Linked DNA regions of Caenorhabditis elegans. The protein of the gene in region 1 purifies or fractionates together with the protein of each later gene. This does not show direct contact. Each region holds a gene or a part of one and is shown on either strand. Other genes may lie near its edges. The genes, in order: cox-10, tin-44, cyc-1 and nduf-6.

Region 1 (7,784 bases):
GGTTTTTCTAAAAAAAAATTTAATTTAAAAAACTCAAAAAAATCAAATTTTTTGCGATTTTCTAGAACTTTAATCCTAATTTTTTTTTTTGAAAATTTACCTAAATATTAAAAATTAATTAATTTTTTCAAAAAAATTAAAATTTAAAATACTTCAACGATAATTTTCCTCTGTTTTGCTATTTTTTTAAAAGTTTTTTTTTTCAAAATTAATTTTTTTTTTAATTTTTGAAAAAAAATTAATTTTTGAAAATATTTTTCCACAAAATTCTACCGAAATTCGATCCGAAATGTGCTCTTTTTGCTGCTCATTTCGTCCATAATTACTAATTCCCATCAGTAACATGACCAGCGGCAGATGTAACAGTGAGTAGAAGAACAATTTTCGACTGTTTTTCGCGTCGGGAGCCTTGTAGAATTTGTAGGATAGGTAGACGAGGTACGCGTTCACTGGAAGAGAATCTGGAAAAATTTTCGGAATTTTATTTAGGGATTTTTGGAGGATTTTCGTGGTTTTTGGGCAACTTTTAGTGCAAAAAAAATCGAAAATTTCGATAAAAAATCAATTTTTTTCCCGATTTTTTTTTAAAATTGCAATAATTTATTTTGAAACCATATTTTAAAACTGAAATTCAAAAAATTGAGGATTTTAGCACAAAATCATTGAAATAATGATATTAAGAACAAAAAATTCACAATTTTGCTCCAAAAATACGGTACCGGGATTCACCACGACAATTTTTGTTTAACGCGAAAATGTGAGTGCCTTTAAAGAGTACTGTAGTTTAAAATTTTTGTTTTAAAACTTTCCATAGTTTTTCATTAAATAAAAATATTTTTAGCAAAAAACGTTGAAAATCGATGATGAAAATTGTCAGAGTTTAAAACTACAGTACTCTTTAAAGGCGCATACCTTTTCGAATTTAGTGAAAAAATTGTCGTGTCGAGACCTGGTACCGTATTATTTTTGGCGAAAAATTGTGGATTTTTTAGTTAAAATCATTATTTTCACTGATTTCGATGTTCTTTTTTTCAATTTTTTCGCCAAAAATACGGTACCGGGTCTCGACACGACAATTTTTTCACTAAAAGTCGACAATTTTTGATTAAACTCGAAATAGTCTGCGCCTTTAAAGAGTACTGTAGTTTCAACTTTTTGTTTCTGCAGATTTTAATTGATTTTACTTTGTTTTCCATTAAAAAAATGCATTTTTAGCGAAAAATCGATAGAAATGAAATTACAGTACTCTTTAAAGGCGCAAACCTTTTCGAAATTCACGAAAAATTGTCGTGTCGAGACCCGGGTACCGTAGTTTTGGCACTTTATTTCAAATTTTGACAAAAAATCATGGAAATTTCGGTTTTTTCTCTCGAAAAACACAAAAAAAGTGAAATTTTTTCGATTTTTAGGTTAAAAATCTGATTTTTTTTCGTGTTTTTTATCCAAAATTTTCAGCACCTATAGCAAAGGTGAGCGTTGTCAAGTCTGTAAGCGGAGCAGCGATGGAGCACAATCCGAGTAGAGCAACACTGTGACGAAGTGACGTCACACGGCACAACCGCTCATTTGTCACACACATTACGCGGTAGCCGGCCTGGAAAAAATATTTAAATTTTTGTTAAATTTCAGTTAAAAATTTCAGAAAAAAATGGAATTTTTTCGTGATTTTTTTTTTTGGAAAAATTTGAAATTTTTTCAATTTTCAACTCTTTTTTCTTGAAAAATTGCAATTTTTTAACGATTTTTTTCTTGAAAAATTACAATTTTTAAACTATTTTTTAGACAATTACCTTACTATAATCGCCTCTCAAATTCCAGCTAAGACCATTAAAATGTGGAAATTGCCATGAAAAAAGAATAGTTGCCAGGCACCAGGCAGCCGGATCCAGGTACCCGGTGGCTGCAGCATATCCCATTAGTGGTGGAATTGCTCCAACTACGGCTCCGGCCCATGTGCATCCGATATGAGAACGTTTCATCGGAGTGTAGACGCCTGGAAATTTGAATTTTCGACATTTTTATAAAGGAAAATTAGATTTTTCTAGTTTTTTAAAGGAAAAAACGGCCAATTTTGCGATTTTTTTGCTTGAAAAATGCGTTTTTTAAACGTTTTTTGGAGCAATTTTTATGTTTTTTTCAGGGTTTTTTCTTGAGAGAAATTGAAAAATTGTTTTTTATTCAAGAAATGAATTTTTTTTTAAAAATTTTTTAAATAAATTTTCTAGTTTTAAAGTGAAAAAAATGGCAAAAAAATTAGATTTTTTGAAGCAGTCTGCATTCATTTTTTCATTTTTAATTGGAAAAATTGAATTTTTCCAGTTTTTCGAGTGAAAAACGGCAAATTTTGCGATTTTTTGGATTGAAAAATGCGTCTTTTAAAGCTTTTTGGAGCAATTTTCAACTTTTTATTCAAGAATTTTGTGATTTTTCAGAGGTTTTTGAAGCTTTTTGCTTTTTTTTTTTTCAGATTTTTCAGATTCAAAAATGTATTTTTTTTTTCGGTTTTTTATCGAGAAAATTGATTTCTTTTTTTTTTTTGAAAAACTGGAAATCCAGCGAATTTTTATAAATTTTGATGGATTTTTGAATGAAAAATGCCAAATTTTTCGAGTTTTTGAATGGAAAATGCGTTTTTTTTACTTTTTTCAGCGATTTTATCGGGGTTTTCAAGGAAAATTTTAAAGATTTTTTCAATTTTTTATAGGTTTTTTTTGAAGCTTTTCGCCTTTTTTGTTCAGTTTTTTCAGTGAAAAAATTGGTTTTTATTTAAAAAAAAAACTGGAAATTCAGTGAATTTTCATCAATTTTCATAGTTTTTGAGTGAAAAAAGGCCAATTTTTCGAGATTTTTTTCCGAAAATCACGTTTTTTTTCAGCTTAAAATTCAAATTTCAAAAAAATCAACGTTTTCCTCAATCTTAGCCAGCACCTGCATAAATAAACCAGTTAAGAGCTCCAAGAGCCGCAGCCAACGGGTTCGCATAATACGCGAGAAGCCCGATTCCAGTGAGCCCAGTGACTCCGGCAAACGTGAAGGCGTGAAGTGGAGAGAATCTGGAAGTTTTCATGAAAATTTGGTGTTTTTTCAATAAAAAATTCATTTTTTGGAGCTATTTTTCAGTTTTTCCACGGAAAATTCGCATTTTATGCTATAAAATTCAATTTTTGGTATTTTTCCATAGAAAATGCTGAAAAATTCGGATTTTCCTATGCACAACTAAAACTCTCGTCTGTGTTCTTCTCATTTGTGCATCATACGGAGCCTCTAGCAGTTGATTACACGCATTTAAGGGAGAAAACGGCCAATTTTACGAGTTTTTAGCTTAGAAAATGCGTTTTTAAAGCTTTTCGGGCCAATTTTTAAGATTTTTCGGCGATTTTATCGGGGTTTTCTAAAAATTTTGAAGGATTTTGTGATTTTTCATAGGCTTTTTGAACCTTTTTGCATTTTTCGCCGATTTTTTATTGGAAAAATGGGATTTTTTTTAATTAAAAAGTGTTTTTTTTTGGTTTTTATTTTGATAAAATGTTTTGTATTTTTAAAAAATGTACTTTTAAAATTTTTTAAAAACAAATTTTCGTGGTTTTTCAAGCGAAATACGGCAAATTTTTTGAGATTTTGCTTGAAAAATGCGTTTTTCAAGCTTTTTGGAGCAATTTTTATGATTTTTCAGTGATTTTTTGGGAGAAATTGAGAAATTAAGGGATTTTTAGAAAATTTTAAAGAATTTTGTGAGTTTTCAAAAGGTTTTTGGTTTTTTAATTGATTTTTAATTGGAAAAATTGGATTTTTCTAGTTTTTTAAGTGACAAAATAGGCATATTTCGCGAGATTTTAGTTTGAAAAATGCGTTTTTCAAGCTTTTTGGAGCCATTTTTATGATTTTTCAATGATTTTTTTGAGAGAAATTTAGAAATTAAGGTTTTTTCTTGAAAATTTCAAAGAATTTTGTGATTTTTCATGAGGTTTTTGGTTTTTTGCTGAAAAATTCGGATTTTTCAATATTTTTTCTTCCAAAAACCGTCCAAACCCGCACCTATGCACAACTAAAACTCTCGTCTGTGTTCTTCTCATTTGTGCATCATACGGAGCCTCTAGCAGTTGATTACACGCATTTGCAGCCGATGAGAGCAGAAATGTGCCTGAAAACTGCACTTTTTTCGCGGGTAAATTTGCACAAAAACCCACCAACAGTGGCGGCGATCAGCGAGTCAGCGGCAACTGGCACTGGCGCCATTAAAACTCCACAGGTAGCTGGAAAAATTCGAATTTCATTAGTTTTTAGCTTGAAAAACCAGTTTTTAAACCTGTAGAAGCAACGAAAAGACTCAATTTTGACTTGCAAAGCGCCAAATAGTCGGCCGCCAGATTTTTAGTCTCCATTTTATACCATTGCTGTAGATATTGATCGCCGACTGAAAAAAAAAATGATTTTTGGAACAAAAAAAATGTGGGAAAATTGCTTTACAACATGCCTATGGGGCCACAATGACCGAATATCATGATTAAAAAAATTCCAAAAATTCAAAAAATTTTCTAGATTTTATATGATTTTTTTTTTGAAAATTGGAAAAATCTCAGTTTTCACCTAATTAGTTTTGAATTTCCGCCAATTGAATTCGTTCGTTGGAGCGTGCTTGCATTATTTTTATAAATTTATTTTATTTATTCTCATTAAATATTTCACTGATTTGCTTCATTTTCTATGTTTTTTCCTCAGAAAATGAAAGAAATAAACAAGAAAAATGAAGAATGATCACTAAAAATTAAAGGTGGAGTAGAGTTAAAAAAAAAAACCGAATATAACTGTTAAAAAATTTTTAAAACATTCCTAAATTTTTTATGTTTTTTTTAGTTTTTCAAAAATCAAAGAAACGGCTGAATAAATTTGAATTCCCGCGCAAATGAGCGACGTCATTTTTGATATTTTCGCGTTTTCTGGCTAAATTCGTCGGGGTTTTTTTTCAATTTTCTCTTCTATATTTGATTTGAAACACCGTTTGTCAATTATTTAAAATAGTTATTTTGAAAAAAATTAATAATAAATATTAAATTGCGGATTTTAGGCCAATTTTGACATTTCTGGCAATTTCCTTAGGGTTATCAAGTTTTTTTTTTCACGGGAAAGTTGTTAAATAATTGACAAACGGTGTTTCAAATCAAATATAGAAGAGAAAATGGAAAAAAAACCCCGACGAATTTAGCCAGAAAACGCGAAAATATCTAAGATGACGTCACTCATTTGCGCGGGAATTCAAATTTATTCAGCCGTTTCTTTGATTTTTGAAAAATTAAAAAAATCATAAAAAAATTAGAAATTTTTTAAAATTCTTTTTACAGTTATATTCGGTTATTTGGGTGCATTTTCTGTCATTTAAAGCAAATAAATTTTTTGACTCCACTCAATCTTTAATTTTTAGTGATCATTCTTCATTTTACTTGTTCATTTCTTTCATTTTCCGAGGAAAAAACATAGAAAATGAAGAAAATCAGTGAAATAATGAGAATAAATAAAATAAATAAACAAAAATAATGCAAGCGCGCTCCAACGAACGAATTCAATTGGCGGAAATTCAAAATAACTAGGCGAAAAATGTGATTTTTTCAATTTTCATATAAAAAATCATATAAAATCTAGAAAAATTTTTTTGAATTTTTTTATCATCATATTCGGTCATTGTGACCCCATAGGCATGTTTTAAAGAAATTTCTCCAGTCCACCTTTAAATAATTTTACCAATTATATCGATATCTTTTTTGTGTCGTTTTCCGGATAAATCTAAAATTTGCGTGTCTGGACGTGGTTTTTTCGGCGAAGCCAACGGCATTTCCTCGTCTAGCGGTTTTGCCTGAAATTATAGAGCTATGAAGCTACTTTTCCACCCGGCTTTTACCCTGGGAAGCACGGAATTTACTGCGGAAGTGTGGAAAACTGCTTGACTAGTCGACGGCGTGAAGCCCACCCGAGAGCACATTAATATATGCCTGCTGAGCATTTTTTTGGGGACCCGAGTTGTCTGGTAAATCAAAAATTATTAATTCGATTGAAAAACTGTGAAAACTTTACAGAAAAATGATTAAAAATTAAATAAATTCGGGCGTTGAGAGCTGTGGATTTACGGTAAAGAAGGCGCGCTGGCGGGATTCCGGAGCATCGTTGTTGGCGGACATTTAAATCATAGTTTAATATTTTTTTTACTAAATTTTGATTTTCTATATTATTTCTAGAGAATTTCTCGATTTTCAAAGAATTTCTTTTTGAAAACAAACATTCCCTTGAATATAACGTGAAAAATTGCTTTAAACATTCATTTCCTGCTAGAAAAACACTCGGGAAATAAATTTCTCCGCTGTTTTATCTATTTTTGCAATTTTCCTCATGATAACGCCTACAATTTCATTCGGTTTTTGCTGGGAATCTCTATGCAATATTCTTTTCTACTCGGTGAGTGCTTTCATCCGATTTTAGCAAGTTTCGATCTAAAATTTTCAGTTTTGCCCCACTCAACGTGTCATTTGCTCGGAGAAAAGCATTTGTGAATGTGCTGAAGCATAATAAAATGTTTAAAATTTTTCTTTATGACTAAAAATCGAGAAAAAACACAGGAAATCGCTAAATTAAGCATCTAGTCGGCGGGATTTTCAGTATTTCCAGGCGTCGGTGTGTGCTGGAAGCTGCTTGAGTCGATCCGCGTACATTTTTGAGTGACCCTGAAACAAAAATCAATTGGTTTTATGGATTTTTAGGTTAAAATATGCTAAAAATTGAATTTTCAGCACGATTTCAGCACGCTTACCTTCATCATCTCGGCCTTATTGTATCCGGCGCTCTCCCAGCAGCGGGCGAAATAGGCGACGGCCAACGTGGCAGTCCAAAGGCCTCTTTTGTCCCAAAAAGCGTTCTTGAGGAAATATGTGGCGGTGAAGGTACCCATTCTGCAAAAAAACTGGCATTTTTTAAAAGAAAACTCGGAGAAATACAGAAAATCAAGAGAAATTAAGGGAAAATCAGCAATTTTAGGGATTTTTTATTGAAAAATCATTATTTTCCTATAGAAACTAAATTTCAGATGAAAAAATGAAGAACTGACTCTAAAAATCTTAAAATCCACGTAATTTTCATTTAATTCATTTTCAATAACTTTCACTTTAACGCCTATTAAACGTGAATTATAGGTGAAAAATAACGTATTTTATCAATATTTCAATAAAGAAAAATAAGAAAAAATCAATAAAATCCCGAAAAATCGATTAAAAACCGGCAGAAAATAAATTCGACGACAAATAAAATGTGAGACAACGACGCTCCGATATTTCGGTGGCGCGTGTTGTTTAGCAGTTTGTGAAAAGGGTGGTTTTTCAAATAGGGGTTTTGTGGAAATAGTTTTTGTTAGGTTTTCCAAGCGAAAAATAATGGTTTAATCATTGGAAAATTGAATGAATCGACTGTGAACAACTCCTCAACAAATTTCAATAGATAAGCTCTTGCAAAGTTTTAAAAAGTAAAACCAGCGTCCACTTCAAGCGGTCAAAACCAAAATCAAAACCTTCAAATTTTTACTATATAAATCCAAAAAAGATTACTTGGAGGTATGGGGAATCGAACCCCAGACTTCTCGCATGCAAAGCGAGCGCTCTACCCCTGAGCTATACCCCCATATTCTGCTTGATTGCAATAGGAAAAGAGGAGTCTACGGGTGTAACGAAAGCGAGTAAATCTTGAATTGATGCGTTTTCCTGTTAGATTATCATTGAACCACTCCTTCAGGGTTGAATTTGTCTTTC
Region 2 (5,080 bases), on another chromosome or scaffold:
TAGCGCCACTGAAGAGTTGAAAATTACAGTACTCTTTAAAGACGCTCACCGTATCGAGTTAAAAAAAACAATTTTCGCGTCGAGACCGAGTACTGTATTTTTGGTAAAAATTGCAAAACAGAATTCTCATCATGAGGAAAGAGCCCGAATGAAATGTCTTCTGACAACATTTTTTAAAATTGAAAGTATAGAAACAATTTTCAGGAAACTACTGAACGTGGACAATTTTTCACGTATTACCTAATTGATGGGATCTCTCTGAAGCCACCAAAAGATTCAAACATTTCATTGGACCTTTACATCTGTTATTTGAATAGCCGCCGTCATCATGAGTATTCGTTGAAAATTTCGTTCAAAAAATAATAGGGCCTTTTCAGGCATTATCCAATCATTAAAACAAAAAGTGCAGTGTCGAATCGAATCTTCTACCAAGTTGGCACCTCTGATCCTTCGAAGAAGTCCTCATCTGAACCGATTTTCTCAACAATCAAAAGCCTTCTGAAATATTACACTGTCTTCGCGCACGTTCATTCCATCTCAAAAAGTGGAAAAGTCCGTATCGAAATCTTCGCTCCGAATTGAACTTTTTTATTATCATTCCAATTGACGGAAATAAACATTTTTTGAGTCGAAAGAAATCTGTAGACAAAGAAGACAACAGGAAGAGAAATGCACCCGTTCAGGTAACAAAGATGAAAATAAAAAACAAAAAAGGAAACAATCTAGCCTAAAAAAAGGAAATATACTATGAAAATACGGGGAGTTATAAAAGAAAAAGTTGAGATTTAATTAGGACACTGAGAAAGACGAAATTTTAAAGAGCAAGAGGAGTTTCTTGCATGTGCACTTCAAGAAGTTTCCACGCAAGTGCCGGATTGTATTCTTCAACATCTCGACAGAGAACCCAGATATGATTAATACGTTTCGGGTTATCTGGATCTCCTTCAACAACTTTTCCATCGGCATTTTTTGTCACATTGATCATGTACACTTGGAATGAAATAATCAAAACTGGGCCTTGTTCCATCATTTTTCCAGTTGCCATTTCTACTTTATTGATATCAATAATCCGAGAATCTTTTGTGCTAAAATGCATTTTCTGATACTCTTTGACGACTGTTGATAGCTGTGTGTAGGCCTGGAAAAAAAAAATTTATTAGGATTAAGACTACCCGTTTTTCGGTGTTTTCTAGAATCCAATGCACAATTCACTCAATTTTCTAATTAAAAAAAACTCACCCTTTCATGGCACCATGATTGTAAAACTTCAAGATCGAAACGAATGAAAGCTTCCAAAATATTTGGAATAATCTGAATAGAATATATTTATATGAAATTTCCAAAAATTCGCGATACCTTTGTCTCGCAGAACCTGAGCCATTCTTGTTTGTCGAAATTGGCGTCAATTTTGTGAATTTCGGTGAGAACTTCGGAAACCTCATTTTGGCCAGCTGAAATTGTTTATGAAATGTGGTAATTTAAAGATTAACTTACAGAAAACACTTCCAATTTTTTCCGTTACACCTCTCATCATACGTACTGCCATATTATCCGACTCATCGTACTTGATTTTCCAGTCGAGAAGTTCTACAAAAATTTTAATGAAGGCCTTTTAGTAGTACAGTAACCCATTCTACGACATTTCCCCTTTTTCTTAATTTATTTTTTCAACGGAATTTTTTTTTGTTTTTGTTTGGAATGTTGAATTTGAATTTGTTGAATTTGAAAAAATTGTTGAGCCCAAAAATTTGCATCCAATGGGTGAGGAAAATTGAAAATTCTCGAAAAAATTAAGTACCCTCCATAGACGGACGGGGCGAGGCCGGAAAGAGAGGATATTCGTCCTGCCCAGACGTAAAACGTGCCGTTTCAAACTACTTATCGGTCCGCAAATACCACTAAATTGAAATTGACCTCAACAGAATAATGTTTTGAGAGAAAATATCTGAGAAAAATGCTAAATAAAGGTAAAATGGAATCAAGGTAAAAAACACAGATGTTAAAAATTACTACATATCATAAGTTTATTTTTATTTCGAGTCAAAGTGGTGAAATTGAATTTGCGACGTTTTTGAAGGTATTTAAACATTTTAACATGCTTGAACCACTACAATTTCGGAATATCTATGAATATTTTGAACACAACAGAAATAAAATAGGAACAAAATTGTCTTTTATAGACGACTCACAAAAAAAAATTGGTGAAACCTGAGTTTTCACCTCTTTTGGACTCGAACTTTTCGTAACCATTTTTTTTCAAATATTTAACATAAAACTCACTGTGATAATAAGTATTTGATTCTGAAAAGTTTTTCCATCCTGAATACCATTTTGAATCTTTGTGCAGAGTTACATCGGTAGCTGAGCTGAAAATAGTAAAAAATTAGAAAAAATCGTAATAAAGAAAAACGAACTCATTGGCTTCTACGACCCGTTCTTTCTCCAAATCGAACCCATCTGTCCGTTTTGTGAGCGCTTCTGAAAAATTTTTGTATTAATTTTTTAAATCTACGATCTTTTATAACAACAAAATTGATATATTTTCTGATTCACAAAAACATTAGTAAAGTGCCACTTTTTTAACCAGAATTCTCTTTATTAGAAAACTTTGTTTAAACTTTTTTGAAAAATAATTGATTTTTTGCTTTTTTTTTGAATTAAAAAAAATTGGCATACCTGGTCTACTATACATTCTGACATCGGCAATATTGTCAATTTCATCTTTCACAGTTTTCATTGACTGAAATTCGAAAAAATTATTAAGTGTGACTTCTGAATGCAAACTCTTACAGTGGAAACATGCTTATAAACTTCTGTATCTCCAACTTTCTCTGCAACTTTTTCGACGTGTTCTGCGGCTTTTCGTGCTTGTTTAAGAGCCTCTGCTCCTGCTTCGGTCATCTTTTTTCCAGCCTCAGTTTTTTGAATTTCGTGCACCATCTGAAATAAAGTATTTTTTAATTTAAAATGGTCACTATAATCCAAACCTTTTTCATGTGATCACTGAGTTCTTCAATTTTTTGTTTAACAACTTCCGAGCTTTTCAATGTTTCTTTTTCCACAATTTCCTGAAATTTAAAAAATTAATTTTTTTTAAACTCCAAAAAAATACGAACAAATTTTTTTCGGGCATCTTTCAATGCATCTGACTCATTTAATTCCTGCATTCGAGCTTTCAACTGTTGTTGATGTTCCTGAAGTTCTTTGTTTTTCTGCATTTCATCTCGTACATTATCAATCAGATTATTCAAAAATCCACGTTTTGGCGCTGGATTACTGTAGTCTGAAAGTTGGAAATAGTTAGAAATGAAAACCTATAGACATTGCCTACCTCTGAAAGTAACAATAGATGGCTGAAATTGAAGTCTTGTCCGAGTTAATCGTATCCCGTTTCCACAAATTCGTGACAACATCTGAAGAATAATTTTTCACATTATAAGTTCAATAAAGAAGAGGCAAGAATGGAACTTGTGCGGGAAATATTCAAATAATAAATTTAATTAATTAATTTCGGTTTAATTATAATTTCTTCTGAACCATTGAAAGCTTTTCAGATCTAAACATCAAGGATTTTTAAACAGTTATTCTAAAACTCTGCAAACAAAAATAATAATGCCCGGAGAATGAAAATAACCATTTTTTGTGAACAAAAATTCTTTTTTGCATTTTATTTCAACAAATTTTCGAACAGAATTCAGCTTAAACAGCTTCGAAATTGAAAAAACGGAAAAAAATGCCGTCTAAATTTCACAACGACACTCCGCAATCCCGCACTCCCAGTGATGCAATTTTGAAAACTTCCCGATTTTATTTATTTTATTTACAAAGTCACGTAGATAGTAGGTTATAGACCTTCCTATTGGTATAAAAAAAATTGTAAAATGAAAAGAAAAGCATCACACCTCTTTATTTCATACAATATTTACAGAATCTCACTTTTAGCAGTAAAATTGAGAACTAAGCGACAAGTTGAAGTGCACTTTCTACCAGAAATTCAATGGAATTTTGAAAGAAAACTAAAGCTAAAAAATACACCAAGATACAAATACCGGTAGAACAGAAAAGGAGGGTACAGCGTTCAAACAATAAAAGTTTAAAAATCCGAAAAAAAAATGCAAAGAACTGAAACATGTAGAAAAGTGAAGAAGTTGCATTGAGAAGCAGCCAGGAATGTTTAATGTTGAATTTTTCAATATTCTGAATAGTATTTAAACCATGCCTCCGGGTTCATATTTAGCCCATGGGTTGTCGTCAAGAAACTTTTCAATAACCTGAAAATCATTAGAAATTAACTGAATTTATTACAGGGTGGGCCAAAAGTATGGTAACACATGAAGCGCTCTTTTACATGAGCTTTTCGCGTGACTGCCACGTCATACGTACATTCTTCTATCGAATACTGATAGCTGAATAAATTTCCTTCAATTTGACTCAAAATTTGTAATGTTTCCCAATAAGGTGCGATCTTTATCACCTCGACAATTTGGCGAACCCTTTCGAAAAAACGGTAATTTGGCACGCGGCACTTCCCACACAAACACACCTCCCATGCACGCCAATAATTTTCAGATGTATGATTTTTATGTTAAATTTAAAGTTAAAGAAGTGAAGAAGCGTTTTTAATTGTTTTTGTGGCATATAAAAATTTTCTGTGTCGACACTGGCGCCTAGCAAGAACCTTTGAATATTTCATGAATTCAACTTTGCGAAATTTACTCAGTTTTTTTGGTTTCGCAAGGCGTAACGTCCCACAAAATCATCCGAGCTCAATTTTCTAAAAAAATTCTGGAAAGTCAGGTCAAAACGTCTCGAAAAATACTAAAATGAATTTTTCTGCATACTGCTACTCGCCGCTCACATCCATCTTTCTGGCGACTATGCCATTCAAGACTTAACCTACTGCCGCAGTCCATGACAGAAATACCGTGATAGAAATTATTTGGATTTTTGTTTTTATAGAATCTCTAGACCAAGAGCATTCTTTGAACTATAAAAACTTGTAAGGCACTTGATGGATTCCTCGAGAAAAATGTAGAAATCCCGCAGAATGCCGACTTGCGTGCCATAAAGGTCGTGATCT
Region 3 (3,964 bases), on another chromosome or scaffold:
TCAAAATTGGCTGGATAAAATGCGAGAGATGACTGCGAGAAACGGTGATTCAGAAGCCAAGAATATGATGAGAATTTTGATGGATGACTTCACAAGTCTTGAATTCTATCCAACACCAATAGACACATCACTATGCCATGTATTCTTGGCTGATCAGGATCAATATGTACTGCGAAATCAAGGGACACCAACATATCAACAATTATGGCCTAATGTAACTGTTGAAATGATGGAAGGATATGGACATGTTACAGCATATCTATCGAAACATGATCTTTGGCGTCGAAGAATAACCGAATTGCTCAGACGGCAACAGCAGAAAACAATTTAAAATAATTTGCATTTTTACTAGAATTTTGATTTTCCGTTTCTTCTTGTGATACTAGAACTCCCATAGCCAAATTTGAGATTGTCTCTATTTTGACATTACCGGTTTCTCTTTCTCAGTGTGCCTTTTCATAAAATAGAACTATGTCGGTAATGAACATTTTTCAACCAAATTCTACAAACATGATCTCCATATGCGATTTATAATTTAAAACTTTATTCGTCTCCACACTAAAAATAAATGTCGACGTTTTACCATTATTTGGTTTATTGGAAAAGAAAAGAAGGTATAAAAACGTGGTTACAGAGAAAAAAAAACGGATAAGAGATTTCCTATATAAAAAAAATATTCGAGAAAGTAATGATGCATCGAAAAAGTTCGTGAGCTTTTTAGTTTAAAAAGGAGTCTGACTATTTCGAATACAGCAAAAACTCTCAGAAAATGGAAAAATACTCATACTAAACTCTCCATTTTATTTTCACAATTAACAAACAACGGCGACAACTAAATTTTTCTAAACGGCTCCCGACGTCGTCCCCAATTTGAAAATTTTGGTGACTACGACGGTCGGATCGAGGGAGAGCGCGTTCTTTTTTTTTGAGGGGATGGAGGCTGTGAAAAAATGAACTAGGAGAGGAGGGTTACAAATACTCGCAATTTCATTAAATTTACAAACGATTAATCTCACAATATTTTATGAAATTGCGAGCAAATGATCGCTGATGGAAATTGCGGACGAATGAAGAGGATAATGAAAAAATAGCGGAAAGCTGGTGATTACTGAGCCTTTGGTGGCTCTCTTCCCTTGACCGTCTTGAACAAGAATTTCTGCGACTTCGTGAATGACCAGATATGTCTCTTTCCGTAGATCAGCACAACAGCCACAAATGGAATCAGAGCAGCGATCTAAATTATTAAAGTTTATTCACTTGTATATAATATTTTCTAAAATGAATTACCTTAAGAGCCCACTTCTTTCTGGTGTCATGGAATGGCTCTGCGGCCCAGTGCATGAATGCAGAAACATCCTTAGCTTGTTGAGACATTGTTGCTGGTGTTCCGTCCTTGTACTCAATTCCTTCGTCGAACAATTGTTGTGGCATAGAGATGATACCTCCTGGGAAGTATGGATTGTAAGCTTTTCCGTCATCAACCTGAAAAATGTTTCACTAATTCCTTTCAATTGTGTGCACGAAATACCTTCACTCCAGCTGGAGCCTCAAGATATCCAGTAAGAAGAGAGAAAACGTAATCATCTCCTCCGTGTCTAGCAAGAGCCATCAATGACAAATCTGGTGGAGCAGCTCCGTTGTTGGCAGCCGCTGCGGCCTTCTTGTTTGGATATGGGTTTGGCAACTTATCGGTCAGCATTCCTGGGCGCTGAATGGATGCTCCCTTATCGTCAACATCATTAATAAGAGCGTCAGCGGCCTCGGCTTTAGCTTCTTCCTTTAAAAAAAAGTCGTGATTAGCATGAAGTTATTATTTTATTCAAATTACCTCAGTCATGATTGTGTCAACGAAATGACGGTAATGCAAGAATTTCATCGAGTGGCAAGCTGCGCACACTTGCTTGTATACTTCGTATCCACGTCGTACACTGAAACATGAACGATTTATCATTATCCAAACTCAATTGAACCTACGAAGCAATGTCGAATGAAGAGAACGGTCCGCTGTGAGCCCATGGTAAAGCGTACGGGTGAACGTTGTCTCCGCTAGCGCTGACCGAGTTCTCCAAAGCGTAAACGAGTCCCATGCCTGAAGCGGCTGTGACTCCGGCAAGGGCCGCCAATCCACGCTGAAAAATACGATAATTAATTCACTGTTTATTTCAACATAAATTATTGTCTTCTAATAATAATTGGAGTTTTTGAATAGAAAGGACATAAAACTTACTTTAGATCCTTGAACCACGGCACGCTGCATTACGTACCACGTCGATTACCTATAAAATTCGTTTAATTTATTTCACTAAATTTGTTTTAAAAAAGAATTGAACGTGTGAACATTGCATAAATTTTATTCATCAATTTCCTAATTTAAATCAACTCCAGCAACGGAATTGCTTAAAAATTGAAGGTTCAATTTATCCGAATTGGAAATCTATCCAGTAAAATTATTCTGACGTGAATGAACCCGGAAATTGAATAAATTAACAAAAAACAACTGAAAAATTAAAGAAAAAGAAAATCTTGTACAGCACGGTCATCTAGAAACGCGCCAGCATCGAGAAATGTGCCCGCCTGGTGCTGGCGCACTTCTTGTGAGACCTGCGTATCCACTTTTATAACGATGTCTGCAACCTTATCGTAGAATAAAAGAAAGCTCAAAAACAGTTTAAAGATAATTTTTCTTTCCTGAAAATAACTTAATTACAGCTTTTTGGAATAAAAAAAAAGAGCGAAGAGAAGTTTTTTTATTAATTTATCAAAGAAAATAGATATTCAAATGAAAGACCAATTGAAAAAATAAGGAAAGTATGTTTCAAAAATACTCGTCGGCTAATTTTCTTTCATAAACTCCAAAATCCGATCCTCAGCATTTTTGTAGGTGCATGTCAAAATGGAAAAGTAGCTTGCGCCGATATTTTGGTGCTCCAGGCGCATTACTTCTTCCTCACTCGTAGCTTTATTGGATTCAACTTGTTTCAGCTTGACAAAGTCGACAAGCTGCTCGTGCATCGGTTGAAGAATCTTATGGTAAACTTCACGACAGAGCTCTTTTTTAATTTTGAAAACTGCTTGTGCCTGAGCTAGTGCGAACACAGCAGAGAAGTAGACAGTTGCAAAATAAACGTCATCGTATTTAATCTTCAAACACAGTGCCCAAAATTCACCAAGTTCTTCATAAAATTCAGGTGACCTGAGGCCGAATGCATTTCGCTGGTAAGTTGTGATGATGGTTGCAACAACTTGCGGTTCCAAACCAATATTTGTATCTTTCTGAATGAGAAATTTTTAATCTTTAAAAATACACCAACAGAAATCAAACCTTTTCGGAAATTTTTTTAAGAAAATGCTTCAGAAACAGAGGTCTGCTTTTGAGAGAATATCTAGAAGCTGTTTTCTCTAAAAGCTTGGCTGATTCTGTTATGTCGTTCATCCCAATTCCATATCCATTGAATATTCGAAGAGCAGCAAGCCAAAATTCTACAATTTTATCAATTTCGGGAGCTTCCAATTGAGGGATAAGCTCCATTCGTTTGTAAATCTGATTAAACACTTGAAGCATCTGACATGCTTGTTCTTTGTGATAAGTTGATTCAATTTGAAAGAAATTTGTGAACTCTTTCACTTCCAAATGGAATCGGGTCTCTTCTGAAACAACGTGTGGAATATAAAAATATTCGGAGTCCTTCTTGAAATCTTCGATCACTGAAATACGCATTTTTCAATTGAAATTTAATTCTACAACTGCTCTTACCGAGGATAGGATGAAAGGGAGAAACAATAGCGAGCTCATTTAGAAATTTCATGGGAATGTTGACCTTATTTGCATTGAGCGATATTATAACATCCTTGAGTAATTTTTCAAGAAATCTTTTCGGAGCTCCAGATAACCTCAGAATTCTACAATTTGCAGTCATTCTTCTTGCGAGAATTTCGATTTTTTCAGTATTTTTCGCAGACTCGA
Region 4 (3,061 bases), on another chromosome or scaffold:
TATTTGAAAACTCAAAGTATTTACATTTTTATGTTTTCAGATTACTGTTCTTGCAAATTTGAAACCGACACGCGATTTGGAATCAGAATTGATTGCCGGGCAACGTTTGAGCAGAGACCAAATGGATCAGGTTAGTGTACCTTATAGTGCAGCTGGTTAGACTATTGTCGACCACCCAAATGTCCCTGGTTCACCCCCGCTCTATGTTCCTCTCCACTTTGTTAATTTTCTGGAATGGAGATTTTATAAGAGCGAAAATAAAATGTCATTAGCGGTGCTCATCTTCGGTTAATTTTCTCGATATGGCTGATTGGATAATGACTACATTTTTATTTTCACAGATACAAGCGTTCCGAACTTTGCTCGATGGAATGCTGATTCTTGATCCAAGCAAACGAACAACCTGCAATGAGGCTCTCAAACACCCATTCTTCACCATACCTATCAAATAATACATTTCCCAAATTTTTTCGGTGATCTCTAATTTCTCTTCTCCTATTTCGATTGTATGTATGCTATATTTAAATACATATTCCTCGACAGCAAATTTTTTGTTATCTTTCGATTCATTATGGAAATTTTAAATGAAAATGATTGTAAATTCGCTACTTGTTTTGTATACATACTAAAAAATAAAACCAAGAGGCTAGACAAATTAGCAGTTGAGGTGTTGGATCTTCATGTCCTCTGCCTTCGTGGCGTGCGAGTTATAGAATCGGTTTCCACAATATCCGCAAGCATGAACTCCTGGTTTGTCCTGAAAAAATTAAAGTGTGACATTAAAAGTTAAAAAAAAACTAACAAGGTTGATGTATACTTTCGGATGTCCAAGAGCTGGATGTCCTCCATCACAGAAGACAACTCTCTTATCCCCGCAATCCTCTGGAGGGCGTTGATCAATAAGATGCATTGCTACATTTGGATTGACGCTTTTCTTCGAAATATCAAATCTTTGAAGACGATAATCAGATTGATCCCACGCCTGAAAATGTGCTTATTTTATTTGAAAAGTTATATAAGAAACACTTACTTGTCCGGTGTGAGTCACCTTGTCGAATTGTGCATTGTTTTTGGTAATTTGATTCGGAGTTGGTGGCTTTGTTGTAATTGTAGAAGAAGCTCGGACGGCAAGAGGTCCGCGTGAAACCGACTGTTGAAGAAGCCGGTTCATTACTAAACCAAACAGTGATTATGATTAATCGATACAACTTTGAATTCAATATAAAAGAGCAACGAAGAAATAATTGTAAAAACCGTAACAATTTCCTTCTTTATAAAACATGAACAAACATTGTTTTATACTTAAACTAGACAAATTGTTGTTAATCATCTGTTTTCAAACAAATTTGACGTCAATTAAAAAGATGTTTCTCAACGCCCGCAACTTGGCGTCAAATGAAATGCTTGCGTCAAAAACACGAATTACCATTGTGCACCGTAATGAATCTTCCACATCGTTTTCTGAGTGATTTGTGAACGAATAAATTAATTTGACCCGTCAAATTTTAAATAGGATACATGTTTATTCTAAGATTGTCTAAAATTGATTTGATTTTCAGCTAGGGAGGCATAAATTTAAAGTAAGAGTTAAGACAGGGGAGTACGCAAACACTGAACTTGACGACAGTTTCGTGCGATTGCACAATCTCACTTTTGTTGGAATTTTCGTCAGATTTTCCCAATTCTTTACTTTTTTATAATGTACAGATTAGTGTGTCTTTCAAAATGAATGAGTAAACATTTATTCATCTCTGTTTCGTTAAATGTAACTTTCTGTGCTCAGTTCTGCTACATTTTAAAATAACTTTTAGGAACTCCGTATACTGTTTCATAAATATCTTAATTTACAGTCGACATGTCCAAGCTTTACATCGATACCGATGCTGGATCTGATCAGCATCCCGGAACAGAAGCTCAGCCATTGGCTACTTTGGTTCAGGTTAGCACACAAAAATATAGTTGCTAAAAACAAACTTTTCAGGCTATGCTTATTTCGAAAAACTCGGGCGAGTTCTTGATGAAGAAAAAGTCAGAGGAAGGGGAATCGTGGGAACCAGCAGCGAAAGCTGCTATCAAAAAGGCAGTGAAAAAATACGAAGCTGAAGTGAAAAAGCTGGAGAAAGCTGGTTGTAGGGAGAAAGAAGCCGAAGAGGCTCAACATGCTGCTCTCGAAGAAGCCAAGAAGATTACATTTTCTCTTGACAAGTCTCTTCCAGAAGCTAAGGTTATCAAGATTGGAGAATCTGTGCAGCATCGCGATCAACGAGTCTCAATCAAAGCCTGGGTACATCGTCTTCGTCGTCAAGGAAAGTCACTCATGTTCCTTGTTCTTAGAGACGGTTATGGATTCCTTCAATGTGTTTTGAACGATAAGTTGGTATGAAATAGTTTCAAAGATCAACTATAATCGTTTCGTTTTCCAGTGTCAAAGTTATGATGCTGTTACTCTCTCAACAGAGACTTCTGTTCAAGTTTATGGAATTATCAAGGCACTTCCCGATGGAAAATCCGCTCCTGATGGTCACGAGCTTACCGTTGACTATTGGGAGGTTATTGGCAAAGCACCAGCTGGAGGAATTGACAACGTTCTCAACGAAAGCGCTGGAGTCGATGTGATGCTTGATAACCGCCACCTTGTCATCCGTGGAGAGAATGCATCAAGAATTCTTCGTATTCGCGCTGCAGCTACTCGTGCAATGAGAGATCATTTCTTTGCTGCTGGATATACTGAAGTTGCTCCTCCAACTTTGGTGCAAACACAAGTTGAGGGTGGTTCCACTCTCTTTGGGCTTGATTATTATGGAGAGCCTGCATACTTGACACAATCTTCTCAACTTTATTTGGAGACTTGCAATGCTGCTCTTGGTGATGTTTATTGTATTTCACAGTCGTACAGGTAGGTTTTTTGACATTTTTTTAGAACACTAGTATTCAAAAATAAATTTCAGAGCCGAAAAATCGAGAACTCGTCGCCATCTGTCAGAGTATCAACACGTTGAGGCTGAATGCGCTTTTATCACTTTCGATCAACTTATGGATCGCATTGAGGCTCTTGTTTGTG

What was found.
Region 2: the proteins of cox-10 (region 1) and tin-44 fractionate together in Caenorhabditis elegans (co-fractionation; one large-scale study listed by BioGRID). This does not show direct contact.
Region 3: the proteins of cox-10 (region 1) and cyc-1 fractionate together in Caenorhabditis elegans (co-fractionation; one large-scale study listed by BioGRID). This does not show direct contact.
Region 4: the proteins of cox-10 (region 1) and nduf-6 fractionate together in Caenorhabditis elegans (co-fractionation; one large-scale study listed by BioGRID). This does not show direct contact.

What each region holds. Positions count from the first base shown.
Region 1 is NC_003280.10:12,678,186-12,685,969, reverse strand, and holds the start of cox-10 (Protoheme IX farnesyltransferase, mitochondrial), read right to left. Parts: upstream 6,017-7,784; 5' UTR 5,996-6,016; coding exon 5,894-5,995; intron 5,849-5,893; coding exon 5,737-5,848; intron 4,415-5,736; coding exon 4,307-4,414; intron 4,254-4,306; coding exon 4,188-4,253; intron 4,142-4,187; coding exon 4,036-4,141; intron 3,054-4,035; coding exon 2,929-3,053; intron 1,994-2,928; coding exon 1,791-1,993; intron 1,595-1,790; coding exon 1,459-1,594; intron 462-1,458; coding exon 274-461; intron 1-273. Other genes in the region: Y38E10A.33 (Nodule Cysteine-Rich (NCR) secreted peptide), read left to right, coding at 6,379-6,444, 6,493-6,555; Y38E10A.24 (Complex I-B12), read right to left, coding at 6,642-6,710, 6,797-6,934.
Region 2 is NC_003279.8:6,177,428-6,182,507, forward strand, and holds tin-44 (putative mitochondrial import inner membrane translocase subunit tin-44), read right to left. Parts: upstream 3,414-5,080; coding exon 3,332-3,413; intron 3,284-3,331; coding exon 3,117-3,283; intron 3,069-3,116; coding exon 2,988-3,068; intron 2,941-2,987; coding exon 2,791-2,940; intron 2,741-2,790; coding exon 2,677-2,740; intron 2,479-2,676; coding exon 2,415-2,478; intron 2,367-2,414; coding exon 2,281-2,366; intron 1,588-2,280; coding exon 1,495-1,587; intron 1,452-1,494; coding exon 1,357-1,451; intron 1,312-1,356; coding exon 1,240-1,311; intron 1,139-1,239; coding exon 815-1,138; 3' UTR 583-814; downstream 1-582. Other genes in the region: T09B4.3 (uncharacterized protein), read left to right, coding at 205-332, 378-582; chn-1 (E3 ubiquitin-protein ligase CHIP), read right to left, coding at 4,209-4,271. UniProt on the Caenorhabditis elegans protein: Essential component of the PAM complex, a complex required for the translocation of transit peptide-containing proteins from the inner membrane into the mitochondrial matrix in an ATP-dependent manner.
Region 3 is NC_003279.8:8,022,147-8,026,110, forward strand, and holds cyc-1 (Cytochrome c domain-containing protein), read right to left. Parts: upstream 2,277-3,964; 5' UTR 2,258-2,276; coding exon 2,228-2,257; intron 2,130-2,227; coding exon 1,975-2,129; intron 1,929-1,974; coding exon 1,829-1,928; intron 1,778-1,828; coding exon 1,529-1,777; intron 1,483-1,528; coding exon 1,288-1,482; intron 1,235-1,287; coding exon 1,106-1,234; 3' UTR 528-1,105; downstream 1-527. Other genes in the region: C54G4.7 (AB hydrolase-1 domain-containing protein), read left to right, coding at 1-331; C54G4.9 (RAP domain-containing protein), read right to left, coding at 2,833-3,273, 3,323-3,705, 3,755-3,964.
Region 4 is NC_003279.8:7,088,852-7,091,912, reverse strand, and holds nduf-6 (putative NADH dehydrogenase [ubiquinone] iron-sulfur protein 6, mitochondrial), read right to left. Parts: upstream 1,174-3,061; 5' UTR 1,172-1,173; coding exon 1,031-1,171; intron 983-1,030; coding exon 803-982; intron 758-802; coding exon 656-757; 3' UTR 552-655; downstream 1-551. Other genes in the region: prpf-4 (Serine/threonine-protein kinase PRP4 homolog), read left to right, coding at 41-130, 342-452; nars-1 (Asparagine--tRNA ligase, cytoplasmic), read left to right, coding at 1,856-1,939, 1,982-2,377, 2,424-2,896, 2,949-3,061. UniProt on the Caenorhabditis elegans protein: Accessory subunit of the mitochondrial membrane respiratory chain NADH dehydrogenase (Complex I), that is believed not to be involved in catalysis. Complex I functions in the transfer of electrons from NADH to the respiratory chain.